3 linked regions of the Oryctolagus cuniculus genome follow. The protein of the gene in region 3 interacts with the protein of the main gene of each other region in a biochemical or structural test. Links are inferred from orthologs where the notes say so. Each region holds a gene or a part of one and is shown on either strand. Other genes may lie near its edges. The genes, in order: ATXN1, VRK1 and COIL.

The links.
Region 1: the proteins of COIL (region 3) and ATXN1 form a complex in vitro, tested with the Homo sapiens proteins (2 studies listed by BioGRID). The link is inferred for Oryctolagus cuniculus from reciprocal best matches to the Homo sapiens genes COIL and ATXN1.
Region 2: of the proteins of COIL (region 3) and VRK1, one has a biochemical effect on the other in vitro, tested with the Homo sapiens proteins (2 studies listed by BioGRID and IntAct, with this or other methods). The link is inferred for Oryctolagus cuniculus from reciprocal best matches to the Homo sapiens genes COIL and VRK1.

Annotation. Positions count from the first base shown.
Region 1 is NC_091436.1:143,605,865-143,611,204, reverse strand, and holds part of ATXN1 (ataxin-1), read left to right. Parts: intron 1-4,543; coding exon 4,544-5,074; 3' UTR 5,075-5,340. UniProt on the Homo sapiens protein: Chromatin-binding factor that repress Notch signaling in the absence of Notch intracellular domain by acting as a CBF1 corepressor. Binds to the HEY promoter and might assist, along with NCOR2, RBPJ-mediated repression. Binds RNA in vitro.
Region 2 is NC_091451.1:41,129,714-41,135,053, forward strand, and holds part of VRK1 (serine/threonine-protein kinase VRK1), read left to right. Parts: intron 1-3,672; coding exon 3,673-3,781; intron 3,782-3,905; coding exon 3,906-3,998; intron 3,999-5,340. UniProt on the Homo sapiens protein: Serine/threonine kinase involved in the regulation of key cellular processes including the cell cycle, nuclear condensation, transcription regulation, and DNA damage response.
Region 3 is NC_091448.1:32,535,027-32,540,366, forward strand, and holds part of COIL (coilin), read right to left. Parts: intron 4,845-5,340; coding exon 3,734-4,844; intron 3,615-3,733; coding exon 3,528-3,614; intron 2,978-3,527; coding exon 2,930-2,977; intron 567-2,929; coding exon 497-566; intron 1-496. UniProt on the Homo sapiens protein: Component of nuclear coiled bodies, also known as Cajal bodies or CBs, which are involved in the modification and assembly of nucleoplasmic snRNPs.

The sequences.
Region 1 (5,340 bases), on a different chromosome or scaffold from region 3:
CTTAAAGGCTCCTTTTATGTGTCTGTGATATAAGTGTTGTTTTGGGAATGGACATGAGTCTTACCCACACTTATGTAAGGTGACTACAATTGTTTAAGGCACACACCATTAAACAATTTTCTGTACCATGACACAAAGCAGGCTCATGCTATTGGATCCTACTTATGTCAAGTAATACTCAACACTGTTGGGGTAGTAGAAAGGTTAAGTTCATCTCTTTGGTAGAATTGTAATATCTTTGGTCATAGGGATAGAGATCAGACAACATAGAGAACCGGTTTCAGGACCAACAACTAGGATTGATTCCCACTTCAATAAACTAATAGCTAGGACATTAGGCAAGTGATTTCTCAGATCTCTTGGAGACTATTTGTAATACTGGAATAGCAATACTCATCTCACTAGTACATTGTGAACATTAAACAAAATACTTTTTATGAAATTGATACCTGGGTGTTTGACAGATGGTAGACACTCAAAAATTTTTAGCTTTCTTTACATCATTAAAACAGCCCAGAATAGGGAGGCGTTTGGCTCAGTGATTAAGTTGTTACGTGGAACACCTGCATCCCATGTTGGAGTGCCTGCTTTGAATCCCAGCTTCTCTGCTTCCAATCGACATTCCAGTCCACACACACCCTGACAAGCAGTAGGTGATCACTGCAACCCACGTGGGAGATCCAGATTGAGTTCTAGGCACCTGGCTTTGGTCTGGCCCATCCCTGACTGTTATGGCCATTTGAGGAGTGAACTAGTAGGTGGAAGATCTACCCACCTGCCTCTCTTACCTCCTCCCTCCTCTCCCTACCTCCCTTTCAAATAAAATGAAAATAAATAATTTTTAAAATAAACAGCCCCGAATGATTATGAAACTTTTCCCCAGATGTGTACACTTGTGTGTAGGCTCATGCTCATACACACACAACAGAAGTGGGCTTCCACACGGATTCTCTCCAGCTGTCCTATCTGAACACATTTATCTGCTTCCAGTAAACCTTGTCATTCAAGAAGTGTGTATTTAACTAAAATGATCAGAGTTGTCAAAGAAGATACAGAAGGTTAAGCAGAAGAGTCACACTCCATGTCCATTCCATGGAAATTTATTACTTTCCACAGTTGTATTAGTATTTAATGGTTTATGAGTAGGTATAATGCAAGTGTATGAAGTTCAGTGGACATTTTCACTATTGTATAGAGCCGATGCTTATTTGGATTTACCCACATAGCTCCCGTTTCCTTGCTCTTCATTTCTCCCTGCATCTACAAACCTCTCTCTAGATTCTTTGTGGGTTTTTTTTTTTTTCCTTCTGAAAGCTTACTCTAGTATTTTCTGTAGAGCAGTTCTGTTGCTGGTGAGTTCCCTTAATTACTGTTTGTCTGAAACGTCTTTATTTTGCCTTCATTCTTGAAGAAGCTTTGTGCTCTGTATAGAATGCTTGATTGGCAACTCTGTTACCTCAGCACTTTAAAGATATTCCATTGTCTTCCGGCTCCCATTATTTTTGTTGACGGAGAGTGTGAATGTAATTGTTACTGATTTGAGGTAATGTCTGTTTGATCTGGAGGCTTTTAAGATTTTTCTTTCCTGTCTCTGGCTTAGAGCAGTTTAACTATAACCTGCTTGGGTGAGGATATTTCCTCACTCTTCTTTCTTGGGGCTAAGTCTTCTTGAGTTTGTGACTTCCCTCTTGTTAGTCTGGGAAAATTCAAGTATTAGTTCTCTTTCCTCCTAGGATTCAAATTGTGCATCTATTAGACCTTCTCAATGTATCTTCTGTCTCTTAGGCTCTCCTCTGAATTAGCCCCCCCCCTTTTTTTGTACCTTTGATTCATTTTTTGTAGTTTCTTCTAAAGCTCTTAATCTAGTTCAGAATCCAATTACAGAACCCAGTTCACTAATTCTTTCTTCAACTGTGTCTATTCAGCTGGAAAATTATCTTGATCTTAGTGAATATAGTGCTTTCATTCTAGAGTGTCCAGAAATATTTTAAAAATAAATTAGACTTGGGGCAGGCATAACGGGTAAAGCCGCTGGCTGCAGTGCCGGCATCCTGTATGGATGCCAGTTCAAGTCCCGGCTGCTCCACTTCCGATCCAGCTCTCTGCTATGGCCTTGGGAAAGCAATGGAAGATGGTCCAAGTTCTTGGTCCCCTGCACCCCCGTGGGAAACCTGGAAGAAGCTCCTGGCTTCAGATTGGCCCAGCTCCAGCCATTGCAGCCATCTGGGGGTGTGAACCAGTAGATGGATAGAAGACCTCTCTCTCTCTTTCTTTCTCTTTCTCTCTCTCTCTCTCTGCCTTTCAAATAAATAAATATATCATTTAAAAAATTAAGATTCTAGTTTTCTCCCCACTCCTCAAGCTTGTGTTTCATCTCCTGAAATATTGTAAGCAGGGTCATTTTTAAGTCTCTGGTGATTACCAGAAGCCCCTGTGGGTCTGTTCTTATGATCAGATGTTTTGTCTTTATTAGTTTTGCTTCTCTCTTGGTCTCCTCATTCTTCCTCCCTTTTCAAAATTGAATGGTAATGTAGTATTTGCAACAGTGTGGAAATAATTCAAGAGCTGAATCCAGTGTTAGAGACTGAGATGATTAAGATTTGACTTCAGACCTTGGAAGGCCTATCCACTTCTGATGCACCCTTACTTTTAAGGCATAGTGTTTGGGATCAGAGGTTAAAAATCGGGGTTCGGGGCCGGTGCTGTGGCACAGTGGGTTAATGTCCTGGCCTGAAGCGCCCGGCATCCCATATAGGCGCCAGTTCTAGTCCCGGTTGCTCCACTTCCAATCCAGCTCTCTGCTGTGGCCTGGGAAAGCAGTGGAGGATGGCCCAAGTGCTTGGGCCCCTGCACCCAAGTTGGAGACCCAGAAGAAGCTCCTGGCTCCTGGCTCCTGGCTTCAGATTGGCGCAGCTCTGGCCATTGTGGGCATCTGGGGAGTGAACCAGTAGATGGAAGACTTTCTCTCTGTCTCTACCTCTCTCTGTAACTCTGTCTTTCAAATAAATAAAATAAATCTTAAAAAAAAAGCGGGGTTCACCAAAGATCACCGTCCCTTGGTGTACCCTGCACTGCATTACACACACACACAAAATGCTATTGAGATTCCCAGAAGCCCACTTAATCTTATAACTGCTCTACTTTGAAATATTCAAAGTTGGCTTGGAACACCACCAGGTTCAAATCTGTGGGCTATCATATCCTTTTCTGGTTTGACACAGTTAAGTTTTTTACTGTCTTATTTCTGTCCAGTGCCTTTAAACAGTGTTTTTTTAATTATTTATTCATTTATTTATTTGCTTGAAAGTTACACAGAGAGAGTGAGAGACAGACAGATCGTCATCTGCTGGTTCACTCCTGAGATGGCTGCAATGGCTGGGGCTGAGCCAGGCTGAAGCCAGGAGCTTCTTCTGGGTCTCCCAAATGGGTGGCAGGGGCCTGAACCCTTGATCCACCCTCCACTGCTTTTTCTAGGCCATTAGCAGGGAGTTGGATCAGAAGTGGAGCAGCTGGGACTCATACTGGCACCAACATGGCATGCTGGCATCAACACCACAACACTGGCCCTGATAAAAATGCTTTTTAACATTTTCTTCAGAATTTTTAATTTTGTTGTTTTTATGGTATTTTTGTTGTTGTTGTTGACAGCTTCCAGTTTTCCTTAGTAGGAAGCTTGTTCCAAAATTGCCTAGTCTAATACATCTCAAACAGCCATTGAAAATTGACTTTTTAAACTACTTCATTGCTCTCTCTCTAAATTTTTTATAATGTTGAATAAATTTAATTTCATGAGAATTAAACTCTTAAAAGCATCGGGTGCCTTTCAGACTTTGGCTATTTTGCAAATACCCATCCCGTACCCTCTCCTTGCCTTTGTTTGTGATACTTAAATGTCTCCTTGTAGCCCCACCTCTGGCATGGAGCAGGATTGGAAGCAGAGCCACCAGCCCACACACTCGTGCTCCTATGAGAGCCCAGCATTGCCACCGGCGGCTGAACCCTGCTGTACCACAATGCTGACCCCCAGCTGACTTGTTTTAACAGAGACCAGGGATAGAGCTAATGCTAAGTGAAGTATTTGGATACTGAATGGACCTTTTCACTGGACCGTTTTCTGCATTGGCTCCTGCCCAGCTTCTCTATGTAGTAAACGCAGATACAACAGGCAGCAAAGGGCCTCATTGTGTTGTGTTGCTAGGGAAGGGAAGTTTGTTAGTGGAGTCTAATTTATTAACATGCAGCCTGTGTGTGTGTGTGTGAGTGGGGGAGGAAGGAAGGAAGGAAGGAAGGAAGGAAGGAAGGAAGGAAGGAAGGAAGGAAGGAAGGAAGGAAGGGAAGGAAGGGAAGGAAGGGAAGGAAGGGAAGGAAGGGAAGGAAGGGAAGGAAGGGAAGGAAGGGAAGGAAGGGAAGGAAGGGAAGGAAGGGAAGGAAGGGAAGGAAGGGAAGGAAGGGAAGGAAGGGAAGGAAGGGAAGGAAGGAAATCATACAGAGCTCTCACTGGTTTCCCTCCTGTCTGCCTCTCTGTCTCTCCCTGTTCCCACAGGTCAGCGTGGAAGTCTTGGTCGAGTATCCTTTTTTTGTGTTTGGACAGGGCTGGTCGTCCTGCTGCCCGGAGAGAACCAGCCAGCTCTTTGATCTGCCGTGTTCCAGACTCTCAGTAGGTGACGTCTGCATCTCGCTCACCCTCAAGAACGCCAAGAATGGCTCTGTTAAAAAGGGCCAGCCCGCAGATGCTGCCAGTGTCCTGCTGAAGCGCTCAAAGACCGACAGCCTGGCGGGCAGCAGACACAGGTACGCCGAGCAGGAGAACGGGCTCAATCAGGGAAGCGCTCAGATGCTGTCTGAGAACGGTGAACTGAAGTTTCCAGAGAAGATGGGCTTGCCCGCAGCACCCTTCTTCACGAAAGTAGAACCCAGCAGGCCCGCGGCCGCGAGGAAGAGGAGGTGGTCGGCGCCGGAGACCCGCAAACTGGAGAAGTCGGAGGACGAGCCGCCTTTGACTCTTCCCAAGCCTTCTCTGATTCCTCAGGAGGTCAAGATTTGCATCGAGGGCCGGTCTAACGTGGGCAAGTAGAGGCAGAGCGGACGAGGCGCCGCGGCCGTCCCGTGCCCTTCCTTCGTATCCAGATTACTGTACTGTAGGCTAAATAACACAGTATTTACATGTTATCCTCTTACTTTAGATTTCTGTTCTAACCTTGTCATTACAGTTACAGCAGGTGTGTCGCAGGAGACTGGTGCATACGCTTTGTCCGCGAGTGTCTGTCGGGGAGTGGCGGGTGGGCCACTGGCAGGCAGGGCAGCAGCCGGCAGGTGCCCGGGCCCGCCGGGGTCCCGAGA
Region 2 (5,340 bases), on a different chromosome or scaffold from region 3:
GGGGCCTGGTGGTGGTGGGTTGATGGCTGACTTTAAGGTGCCTGATGAGGATGCTTTCAAAGTTAACCTCCCTGGCTAGAACCAGACATACTCAGTCCACGTCTTACCTCATTGTTACTAGTGGTGACCTTACCACTCAGCTCATTTCTTTTATAAAATGAGGTTGTTAGAAATGTCTTCTGGGGCCGGTGCTGTGGCGTAGTGGGCTAGGCTCTGCCTATGGCGTTGGCATCCCATATGGGCGCTGGTTCGAGTCCTGGCTGCTCCACTTTCCATCTAGCTTTCTGCTGTGGCCTGGGAAAGTAGTAGAAGATAGCTCAAGTGCTTGGGCCCACACCAGTAAGGGAGACCCTGAAGAGGCTCCTGGCTTGGGACTGGCTCAGCTCTGGCCATTGTGGCCATTTAGGGCGTGAACCAGTGGATGGAAGATTTCTCTCTGCTTCTGCCGGTCTGTTACTCTGCTTTTCAAATAAATCTTTAAAAAAAAAAAATCTTCTTCAGAAACAATGTGTAAGGCATCGATTTACTTTTTCAGTGGAAGCTCTTAAAAGTATTCATAAGTCTTTTTTTTTTTTTTTTTTTGACAGGCAGAGTGGACAGTGAGAGAGAGACAGAGAGAAAGGTCTTCCTTTTGCCGTTGGTTCACCTTCCAATGGCCGCTGCGGCCGGTGCACCGTGCTGATCCGATGGCAGGAGCCAGGTGCTTCTCCTGGTCTCCCATGGGGTGCAGGGCCCAAGCACTTGGGCCATCCTCCACTGCACTCCTGGGCCACAGCAGAGAGCTGGCCTGGAAGAGGGGCAACCGGGACAGAATCCGGCACCCCAACCGGGACTAGAACCCGGGGTGCCGGCGCCGGCTATAAGTCTTTATAAAGAGTAGAGAAACAGAAAGTAAGATCACTCTTCTGTCTTCCTCCCCATCAGAAATCTTCACTTGTCTCTGACTCATTTAAATTAATACACACAGTGTTAAGATAGTAAAAATGTTAGCTATCATCATCAGATTATTTTATTCTCATTTAATATTTTCCCGTTTCTTGTGTCATTTTATCCAAGTCCCCAGAAGATGTGTACTTCACGGGTCTTGCTTTAGCGGTTGTTCAGAGATGACTTCAGTTTGGCTGCTCAGCGGTGGAGCCGTCTTTGACTAGCATGTGGTGACAGCTTCCATGCAATTCATGGATCCTGCTTCAGTTGATGTTTATAATTTAGAAATATGAGATTAAGGGGTTGTTTAGAGTAGTGGTGGGTGCTATGCGAACGAAAGCAAAGGTCTACTTAATGTGGTGTGTTATTAGATTCCATATCAGATTAAGCAGTTGCGTTTTAGTCTTCGTTCAGGCTGTCAGCAGAGGTTGTATTTTTGTTACCTCTATTATTAAAATTGCAGATGTCATTTATATGTAGAAGAAAACAAGAACATAGGTTCTTTTTTTTTTTTTTTTTTTTTTTTGACAGGCAGAGTGGACAGTGAGAGAGAGAGACAGAGAAAGGTCTTCCTTTTGCCGTTGGTTCACCTTCCAATGGCTGCTGTGGCCGGCGTACCGCGCTGATCTGATGGCAGGAGCCAGGTGCTTCTCTTGGTCTCCCATGGGGTGCAGGGCCCAAGCACTTGGGCCATCCTCCACTGCACTCCCTGGCCACAGCAGAGAGCTGGCCTGGAAGAGGGGCAACCGGGACAGAATCCGGCGCCCCAACCGGGACTAGAACCCAATGTGCGGGCGCCACAAGGCGGAGGATTAGCCTAGTGAGCCATGGCGCCGGCCAACATAGGTTCTGATGTCATCTCTCAAACTTTCAAAACCTGATATCAAAGGAAATCAGGAAATCAAAATTATTGTTCTCTCTTTATTATCTTAGAGGTATTGGGAAATGTTACATGAATTAACACATTTTACCACTGATTAATTGTCTGACTTTGGACAAATCATTTTGCCTCCATAAACATTATTTTATTTATTAAAAGATGTGTAGACAAGATGATCTCCAAATCTCCTCTAGTTCAAAATCAGATAAAATTCTGAATTTAAAAATTTTTTATTTGTAATTACATATAATAATTGTACATTTTTATGGGGTAGAATCCTGAGTTTTTTTATTTGGCATGTCGTCATTTATTTACTTGGGAGATGGAGACCCACCCACACACACACACACACACACACACACACGCACAGCAGAGAAATGGCTCCCATTTGCTGGTTTTCTCCCCAAATTCCCACAATGGCCAGGGCTGGGCTGGGGCTAAAGCTGGGAGCCAGGGATGCAGTGCAGATCTCACCCAAGGGTGGGCAGGAAGCTGATTAACTGAGCCACCACTGCTGCTTCCCAGGGTCTGGGTTAGTAGGAAGCTGGAGTCAGGAGCCAGAGCTGGGAGTTGTACCCGGATACTGCAGTGTGGGACATGGCGCCTTGACTGCGAGACTGAACGCCCATTCACTGGCTTGTTAGCTCTCAGTGTTAATCAGCTCTCCTTCTCTATTCCACTTGTCATACTATATTTTTATTATAAAGGCATACAAGCGGGAATTTTGTTTTCCAACTGATGTTTACTTAAGTATTGGTGGTTCAGTGGTCCAAAGTTTGGCTTCATTGCATACTCGAGGACACATTACTTACTTTCCTGTGCTGGACGTTCCTCTGTCACGTTGCTCAGGGTACTGCTCGGGCCAGGCGTTCCGTAAGCGCTGTCCGTAGTGGTGAGGACGTCTTCCTCTCCTCCCCACCAGAGGCACCTTGATACATTTTGGGTGTGTTCTTGTTTTTTGTTGGTTTATTGAATGATTTAGCCAGACAAGTTGGAACCTGGAAAACTGTTGAAGACAAAGGAAGTCCTCAGAGCAAAACCTGGACAGGGTCACTGCTCATCAGTGATGTTTTCAGTGGACAGGGTCACTGCTCATCAGTGATGTTTTCAGTGGACAGGGTCACTGCTCATCAGTGATGTTTTCAGTACTTTGTGAACTGTAGCACCCAGTCACCGAAAAGACTTTGGAAACGGTGGGTCTTCACTGTCGTTTTACTCCCATGGACAGGAGGCTCAGGGGTTAGTGGGACTTAACCAAGGTGATGTAGCTGGTTTTTGGCAGAACCAAAAGTCTTCATTTTTTTCCTGCATGTTTGTTCTCCCTCCAGTCTCACCCACTGAATGTCAAACATACTATGCCTTCTTACCATTTAAGTGATTTTGATTGAATTTAGCTGTTGTCAGCAGCGTCCCTTGGCAGTCTTTATTTTAACAGAATGTTGATACTGCTGGAATGTACTTTAAAAATTAGAGAAAAATCATCACAGGAAGGAAGCTAATATCCAGAAAAATAAATGAACTTAATGAGAAAAATCGGTGCCTTCATTCTTATTCAGAGTGCTTTATCTTTCCTGTGGATGGATCTGCTGGGTTCTTTCTGTGAGCGGTATCTTCAGGTCTTGTGTGCAGTGACCAGCAGAGAGCGGAGACCCTCTGGGGACAGAGGACAGAGCAGTAGGCTGGGCTTGAGCTTTCTAGTGGGGGAAATTGTTCCAAACGTTTATATTTCTCTTGGGTTATTTCTTTAGAATACTGTCTTACTAAACTTTGCCTTGGAACAAATTACTCTGAAAGGGTATTAGTCATTGCAAAGTAGATTTTCCTGAGTTATATTTTGTTCATTGACTTTTCTTGTTTGTCTTCAGTTACAGGTTTATGATAATGGATCGCTTTGGGAGTGACCTTCAGAAAATATACGAAGCAAATGCCAGAAGGTTTTCTCGGAAAACTGTCTTGCAGCTAAGCTTAAGAATTGTATGTGAGCTACATTTTTGTTTTCAAAGAATTCTTTTTAATAAAGGCTAGCATGTTGGAGCTCGGTCCTCTGCTGGTTGGCGTTAGGTATTACATTAATTTCTCCTGTGTGATGCTTTCCTAGCTGGATATTCTGGAATATATTCACGAGCATGAGTATGTACATGGAGATATCAAGGCCTCGAATCTCCTCCTGAGCTACAAGAATCCTGACCAGGTAGTTGTGTATCTTTAATTTCTACTATTTAAAATGTGTTGTTTGGAAACAAGTATGGTCGCTTTGAACTTTTGAACCCACGCAGAAGTTTTACTTTTTGAAGTAGATATGGTGATAATAATATTTCTTCTTGACACTTTTATCTAGTTAACATTCTCCGTTTCGATGCAGTTTGTTGGCACTTTATCAAGTTGGCTATTTTGCCCTAAATAATATTCAGAAGAAGTACTTGTGATACAAAATGAATTTCAAATAGCTATTTGGGAGTGGAAGCTTAAAATTATATAGTACACCAATGAATTATGTTTGCCTGTCTGCTTTGTCACTTTTTTTATTTCCTTTGTTCAAGAAATCCATCAAATGTAAGTGTTCTGTTACTTGGAAAATTTGGTCTTTAACATGTTGATTGTTCAAATCAATTGGTTTACAGAAATACCTTAGCTGTCTAAATTTGTATACGCTTGGTGTTTAGAATTCCAGCGTGCATTTTTTAAAGTTTATTACATTTTCTTTGTAATTTACTTTCTAAGGAAAGAAAAGATGCTAGTAGTACCCTGCCTGTGTCTGGGTCCGTTAGCTGGAGTAGAGGGACCTGTGATTCCGTGCAGCTGTCCTGTGAGCCTGGTAAAGGAGGCTTTAGCTGACACTCGCAGTTGGGCCTGCGAATTCACGGGAAGTCTGCCTTTTCTCTTGATCTCGTGTATAAAAGGGAGATTTACACATTTTAAATGTGTTGGGCACTTTATGTAATTATTTTTCAGCGTTCTCTATTTCATCCTTCTTTCTCAAACCTGTCTTTATGTCTGGTTTTTCCTTTGACTCTCGTTGTTTTCGGACCATCTCATGGGTTTGCTTCTCCTCTCCCAAAGTCAGTCCCGGCAGATGGAACAAAAGGAAGATGCTGTGCTTGTGTGCTGATGGGGAACCGCCGGAGGCAGTTATCCAGTTCTTTTTAGCCCTCTTGTTCTAGCTGTTTCTCTGTTAGCTGAGAACCTGAACAAGGAGGACATTGTTAATTGAAGTAGACTGGATTTGTACAATGTAATAAGCAGAAATACTTGTATCACTTATATATATATCAGTTTGCGGTTGACTACAACAGGCTACATTTTTTATTTTATCGAAAGATTTTTCAGCTTGGTCACCCTTTAGGCATGCGCTTTGGATGGGATTGTTCTTCTAACATTTTATGTGTGTGCCGGATCCATCTCCATATTTTTACTTTCAGTTTCTCTTTGTGCACACATGCATTCCTGTGTCACAGTTACCAGAATTAAAGATGTAATATGTGGCGATGGAATAAAAGAAAGCCAAATTTATTAGCTTTGTGTGCTAATAAGAC
Region 3 (5,340 bases):
CACCTGTCAAACTTCTGAAATAACACTAAGTAGTTCTTTTGAGTTCATTAGGTAAACAATGCCCATAATGTATTGTCTGCAATTTCCATTGTTTTGTTAATTAACATAAGAATGCAAAACTTTGCAAGGCAATTTAAGTACAGAATCTTCCTAAATTTTTACAGAATGTCTCCCAATCTTTTATAGCTGATCCACCCACACATAATTTAACAGCATTTTTAAAGTGGTGTTCCTAATTCCTGGAAATAATTCTTTTCTGTTTTCATCAGTTCATATAACTTTTGATGAAAGTACATATTAAAGCAGTTAGAATTTGCCCAACTCCTCTTAGACTGCCAGTGATCTGGCTAAGAGGAGTATAGCACAGAGGGGCACAGATATCGCCAGTCAGCGAGGCCGGCTAAGTGGCAGCCATAGATGTTTCTTTATTGGCTATTTAGAAACCACCACAGGTATGTACAGGCTAAATGTTTAAATTCATTTCTAAAAGACTCACCAGGTAAGGATGAAAGAATTTCTATATCTACTTGCTGGGTCTCTGGATTGTGGCTTAGTATTTTTCCTTCCTTTCAAAAATAAAAGTCCGAGTCAAATATCAACACATATAACATGGTATGTATACTTAAAACCACTGAATTACAGACTGTAAACTGGTAAATTCTTTGTTACATGAATTTTAACTCAATAAAAAATTTAAATAAATCAATGTGCAGGGGAAATTAAGCTGCTGCTCATGAAGCCGACATCCCACATCGGAGCACCAGTTCCAGTCCTGTCTGCTTCATTTCGAATCCAGCTCCCTGCTAATGTGCCTGGGAAAGCAGAGGAAGATGGCCCAAGTGTTAGGGCCCTGGCTGCCATGTGGGAGACCAGGATGGAGCTCTTGGCTTCTGGCTTCAGCCTGGCCCAGCCGTTTGGGGAGTGAGCCAGCAGATCGAAGATCTCTCTCCCTCTCTTAACCCCTCTCTCTGATAAACACTTTGAACACACAAAATTACCCTCAGAAGCAAAATAGATACATTTAAATCACAAATGGCAGACACTGACCTAAAGAACACAAAAGTAAAGATTAGACTAGGTCATCAAAGTGACTGAATAGAAGAAAGAGGAAAAGCATGGGCCAGCATGATTAACTCAGATGAGGTTTGCTCGTGACAACATCAGGGAAGGCCACACATGTCCCAACTGGGCCTCTTTTACAAGTGGTAGTAAGCTGCAAGCAGAAAGTCCCTTTGTCACTGACAGCATTAGAGGTCCCTTCCTCCAGGTCCCCAGCTTTGGGAGCTGGTTTTCAAATGCATCAAGAGGGTGCACTGCCCTGTGCATGTGGGTGGTGGTGAGACAGACCGGCAGCCTTTGGAGGCACCCAGTGAGGCCCACCAGTCAGTTCCTCCTGCTTCTACCCAGCTTTTCTGGGCACAGCCAACAGTGGTGTTTAAAACCAACCAAATGGTGGCCAGGAGTCTGGGAGACTATATCTTTGAGGATAGATCTGACTTCTGGAGATGAGCTTAACGAATAAAGCAGATGATCAAGCTCGATTTCAGCATCTGAGGTCAAAGCAAAAGAGTGGGACCAACTGTAATTCTTAAAATGGTTTTGAATGTGATTTCAAAACTCTCCAAAAAATATTGGGAACTAAAGTAAGCAGACAGCCTGCCAAGGAAATAACTATGGTGACTAGTACCAATTTAATACACAATAAATCATATGATCTAGAACTATAATTGGCAGAGGTTATTAAATTTATCAATTCAATATTCATTGCCATTTCGTCAAATATCACAGAAAATCAGTTATCTATGGTGGGGTAACACAACACCCTGGGCTGTCCAAGATAGTCCAGAACAACTTTCCTTCCAGCATTACTAATTATTACATTAAAAATATAGACTGACAGGCTGGCATTGTGGCATAACGCATTAAGCTGCCACCTGCAACACTAGCATCCCATGTGGGTACTGGTTCAAGACCCGGCTGCTCCACTTCTGATCCAGCTCCCTGTTAATGCACCTGGGAAAGCAGTAGCAGATGACCCAAGTGCTTGGGCCCCTGCATCTATGTGGAAGACCTGGATGAAGCTCCTGGCTCCTGTTGGTGTGACCATTTGGGGAGTGAACCAGTATATAGAAGATTTCTCTCTATCTCTCTCTTTCTCTATGTAATTCTACCTTTCAAATAAATAAAAATAAATCTAAATAAATAAATAAAATTTTTAATGCTTATAATTCTACATATTATACCAAAAAAGAAAGTATACATTTTAACTTTTTAACTGACATATACCAAAAAAGACTTTTTAACTGACATAAAAATTGTACATATTAGGAGTATGTATTTATTTTAGTAAGATTATATCAAAATTTTGTTGGTTGAAAAAAAGGGAAGGAAACATAATCTCACTGTGACAAGCTTTTACTGAACAATGAAAAACTTGTATGACAGAGTCTCATACAGATATAAAGAGAGTAAATTCCAAGGATGACTGTGAACTACATGGTTAAGTGATGATGCAAAGATATCATATTAGACCATAATAATCAGAAGACATTTACAAATACATGAAATAGATGCTTATAATAAAAATAATCTTTTCCAGGTGAGAGCTATTTATTATTTTCATAATATGGTCTTTCAAAATTTAGGCTCATGAGGGAGTGGATTTTCAAATAAGTATGTGTTGAAATTGATTAGGAAAAAAAATCAAGCTCATCAATTTTTATTCTATATTCTTCTCAAGTGCCAGGAAAACAGCATGGACAGAATTCAGCTGTTCAGAAGTTTATAGGTTGATGTTTACATTTTCTACATTACTTTATGACACTGTTCACTCAAAAAATTCTATACTATTCATTTAAGTAGCATTATCTACAATTTTCATTTTATTAATATACTGAAAACTTAATTATTTTTAAATAAACAACTTTACCTTGTAGTCAGAGACATCAGGAGAGTAATTGGATGTTAGTTCCAAAAGCTACAGAAGAAAAAAGTCACAAATACCAAGCTCTTGTACACTTTCACATTCCCACAGCTCCTCCCTCCTACCCGAGAAAATCGTGAAATGTAAAGGTGCCCACACAAGCCAGGGGAACTCTATCATCAACCAGTGAGAAGGGCTCTTATAAATATTATTTAATGTGACTAGACGAGTGAAGTTTGTTTGGAAATGGAGTTAACCATTTTGGTTACAATCACTGCTGTTTTAAAATATACCTTGGGGGGGGGGCTTTTCATCTAACAGCTAAGACACCATTTAAGACAGTCGCATCCCCTTACTGGAATGCCTGGATTTGATGCCTGACTCTGGTTCCTGATTCCAACTTCCTGCCAATGCAGACCCTGAGAGGCACAGTGACAGCTTAGGGACTGAGTTTCCCGCCACCCACATTGGGTTGAGTTCCAGGCTCCCAGCTTTGGCCTGGCCCAGACAATGGGGGCATTTGGGGAGTGAACGAGTAGATGGGAGCTCTCTGTGTCTCTTAAATACATAAAATCTTTAAATAAATAAATAAAATAAAGCATACCTTAAATGCAATCTTTTCTCCAACCTGAGGGGCAGCTGCTAAGAGTGGTAACAGACTATAATCCTTCTTGTGTGTCTCTACTGGATTCTGAAAAACAGCATTAGTCAAGTGACTGGTATTTGTAAAAAAACGTAAACTCATGACATGAACTCCAGATACACTCCATGGGAAAGTGGGGGAGGTAAGCTACAACCAATCATACCTACCTGGATAAAAGTAGATGCGTTTGTTATCATTTCATTTAATTGCTTCTGCTTCTGATAGTCAGCATTTCTGTTTACAACACCAGACACAGCCTGCCCTCGCCCTCGCCCTCTCCCCCGCGCGCCCCGACCTCTGGCTCCCTTCCAAGAAAGAAGGTCCTCTCCTCGACCCCATCCTCTTCCTAGACTGGAGGGGAGAGTCGCAACAGAGGGAGGACCGGGAGCCTGTCTGCCACCGCTTAAGTCAGAATACTTCCAGCTGGCAGCAGGTGGCACCTGTGAGGACAGCCCTGGACCTGGGCAGCCTCTCCCTGGGAAGAGGCCAGCCGTCTTGAAGAGCCCCGAGGCACTCTCGGGAGTGCTCTTAGACAGCAGGCACTGGTCATCCGACTCTGAACTCGAGTCTGAACTAGACGAGGATGTTCTGGTGGTCTTGCCCTGGCTCGGAGTAAGGCTAAAGCCACCTTTTGCAGGCAGTTTGTTTGCAGTCGTATTTTTTGTAGAGGATCCTTCCTTTGCTAACTCAGTGGGAATTTTCTCTGAGGAATTTCTGGCCTCCGAAGTGACATTGCTGAGCCCATCACTGGTGGATTCGTGACAAGACTCCGACTCCGAGGAGGAACTGGGGCTGTCTTTTGAAACAGTGCCTACACCAGCTTTCCTTCTGGCTTTCGCCAGGCTGTTCTTAGCAGGACTTTTTGGAGTACTACAGTTCTGGGCGGTCCACTCTTTTACCACGGGCACTTTGGGAGACTTGGAATTCTTGGTCTGCTTTTTATATTCACATTTCTCTTTTTTCTTTGGTGATTTCCTTTGGGTTTCTTCATCATTGTCATCCATCGTGCCACATGCTGCTTTGTTCTTTCTCTTGTTTTTTTTCCCCACAGCCTGCTCTGTGACTGCTTTTGTGTGCGGAACCAAGGCCTTCTCATTATTACTACTGTTTTCTTGCCTTTTCCAATGCTTCTTTGAATACTTGCAATCTATGTCACTTTCTTCGTTCTCCTCCAACTTAAATGCCCGCTTCTTTGCTTTTCTAGGTAAAAAATGAGTACTATCACCATTCCTGACTACTACAGAATTCTCAGCAACTCCTCTCTCTTCTAATTTAACTCTGTCAAAAGAACAAAAGAGAAAGCTAGAGTGAGCACTGCATAAATACATCCCAAGGACTTAGTTATACACCAAGATGATGCTACAAACTTAGTACCACCAGTCCATGAAAAAATGTTGCATCACTTAACACACAAAGGACGCCTTTTGACAAAATGGCCTAGACAGCATCACTTATGGTCAACTTTCAAATGGTTGGTCTTGTTTGACTACTGACTGCATCCCAAACATCTTCTATGGATCACCTCTCATCTAAACACCACTACAGAGGAGAGTCTGTCACGTCACAGAGTCTGTCACACGATTACATCTCAGACAAGCAACCTGCCCAGAATCCACAGCTGACAAGTAGCAGAAAAGCAATTTAATTCTCAATCTAATTTCAACACTCAACTTTCCACTACATGTATGTTACCAACCCTAAAAGATGATTATCCATTTTTGTTTTTGGAATGTTGAGTTGCCTTTTTATGTTGAGGGGCCAGTGTTGTGGCATA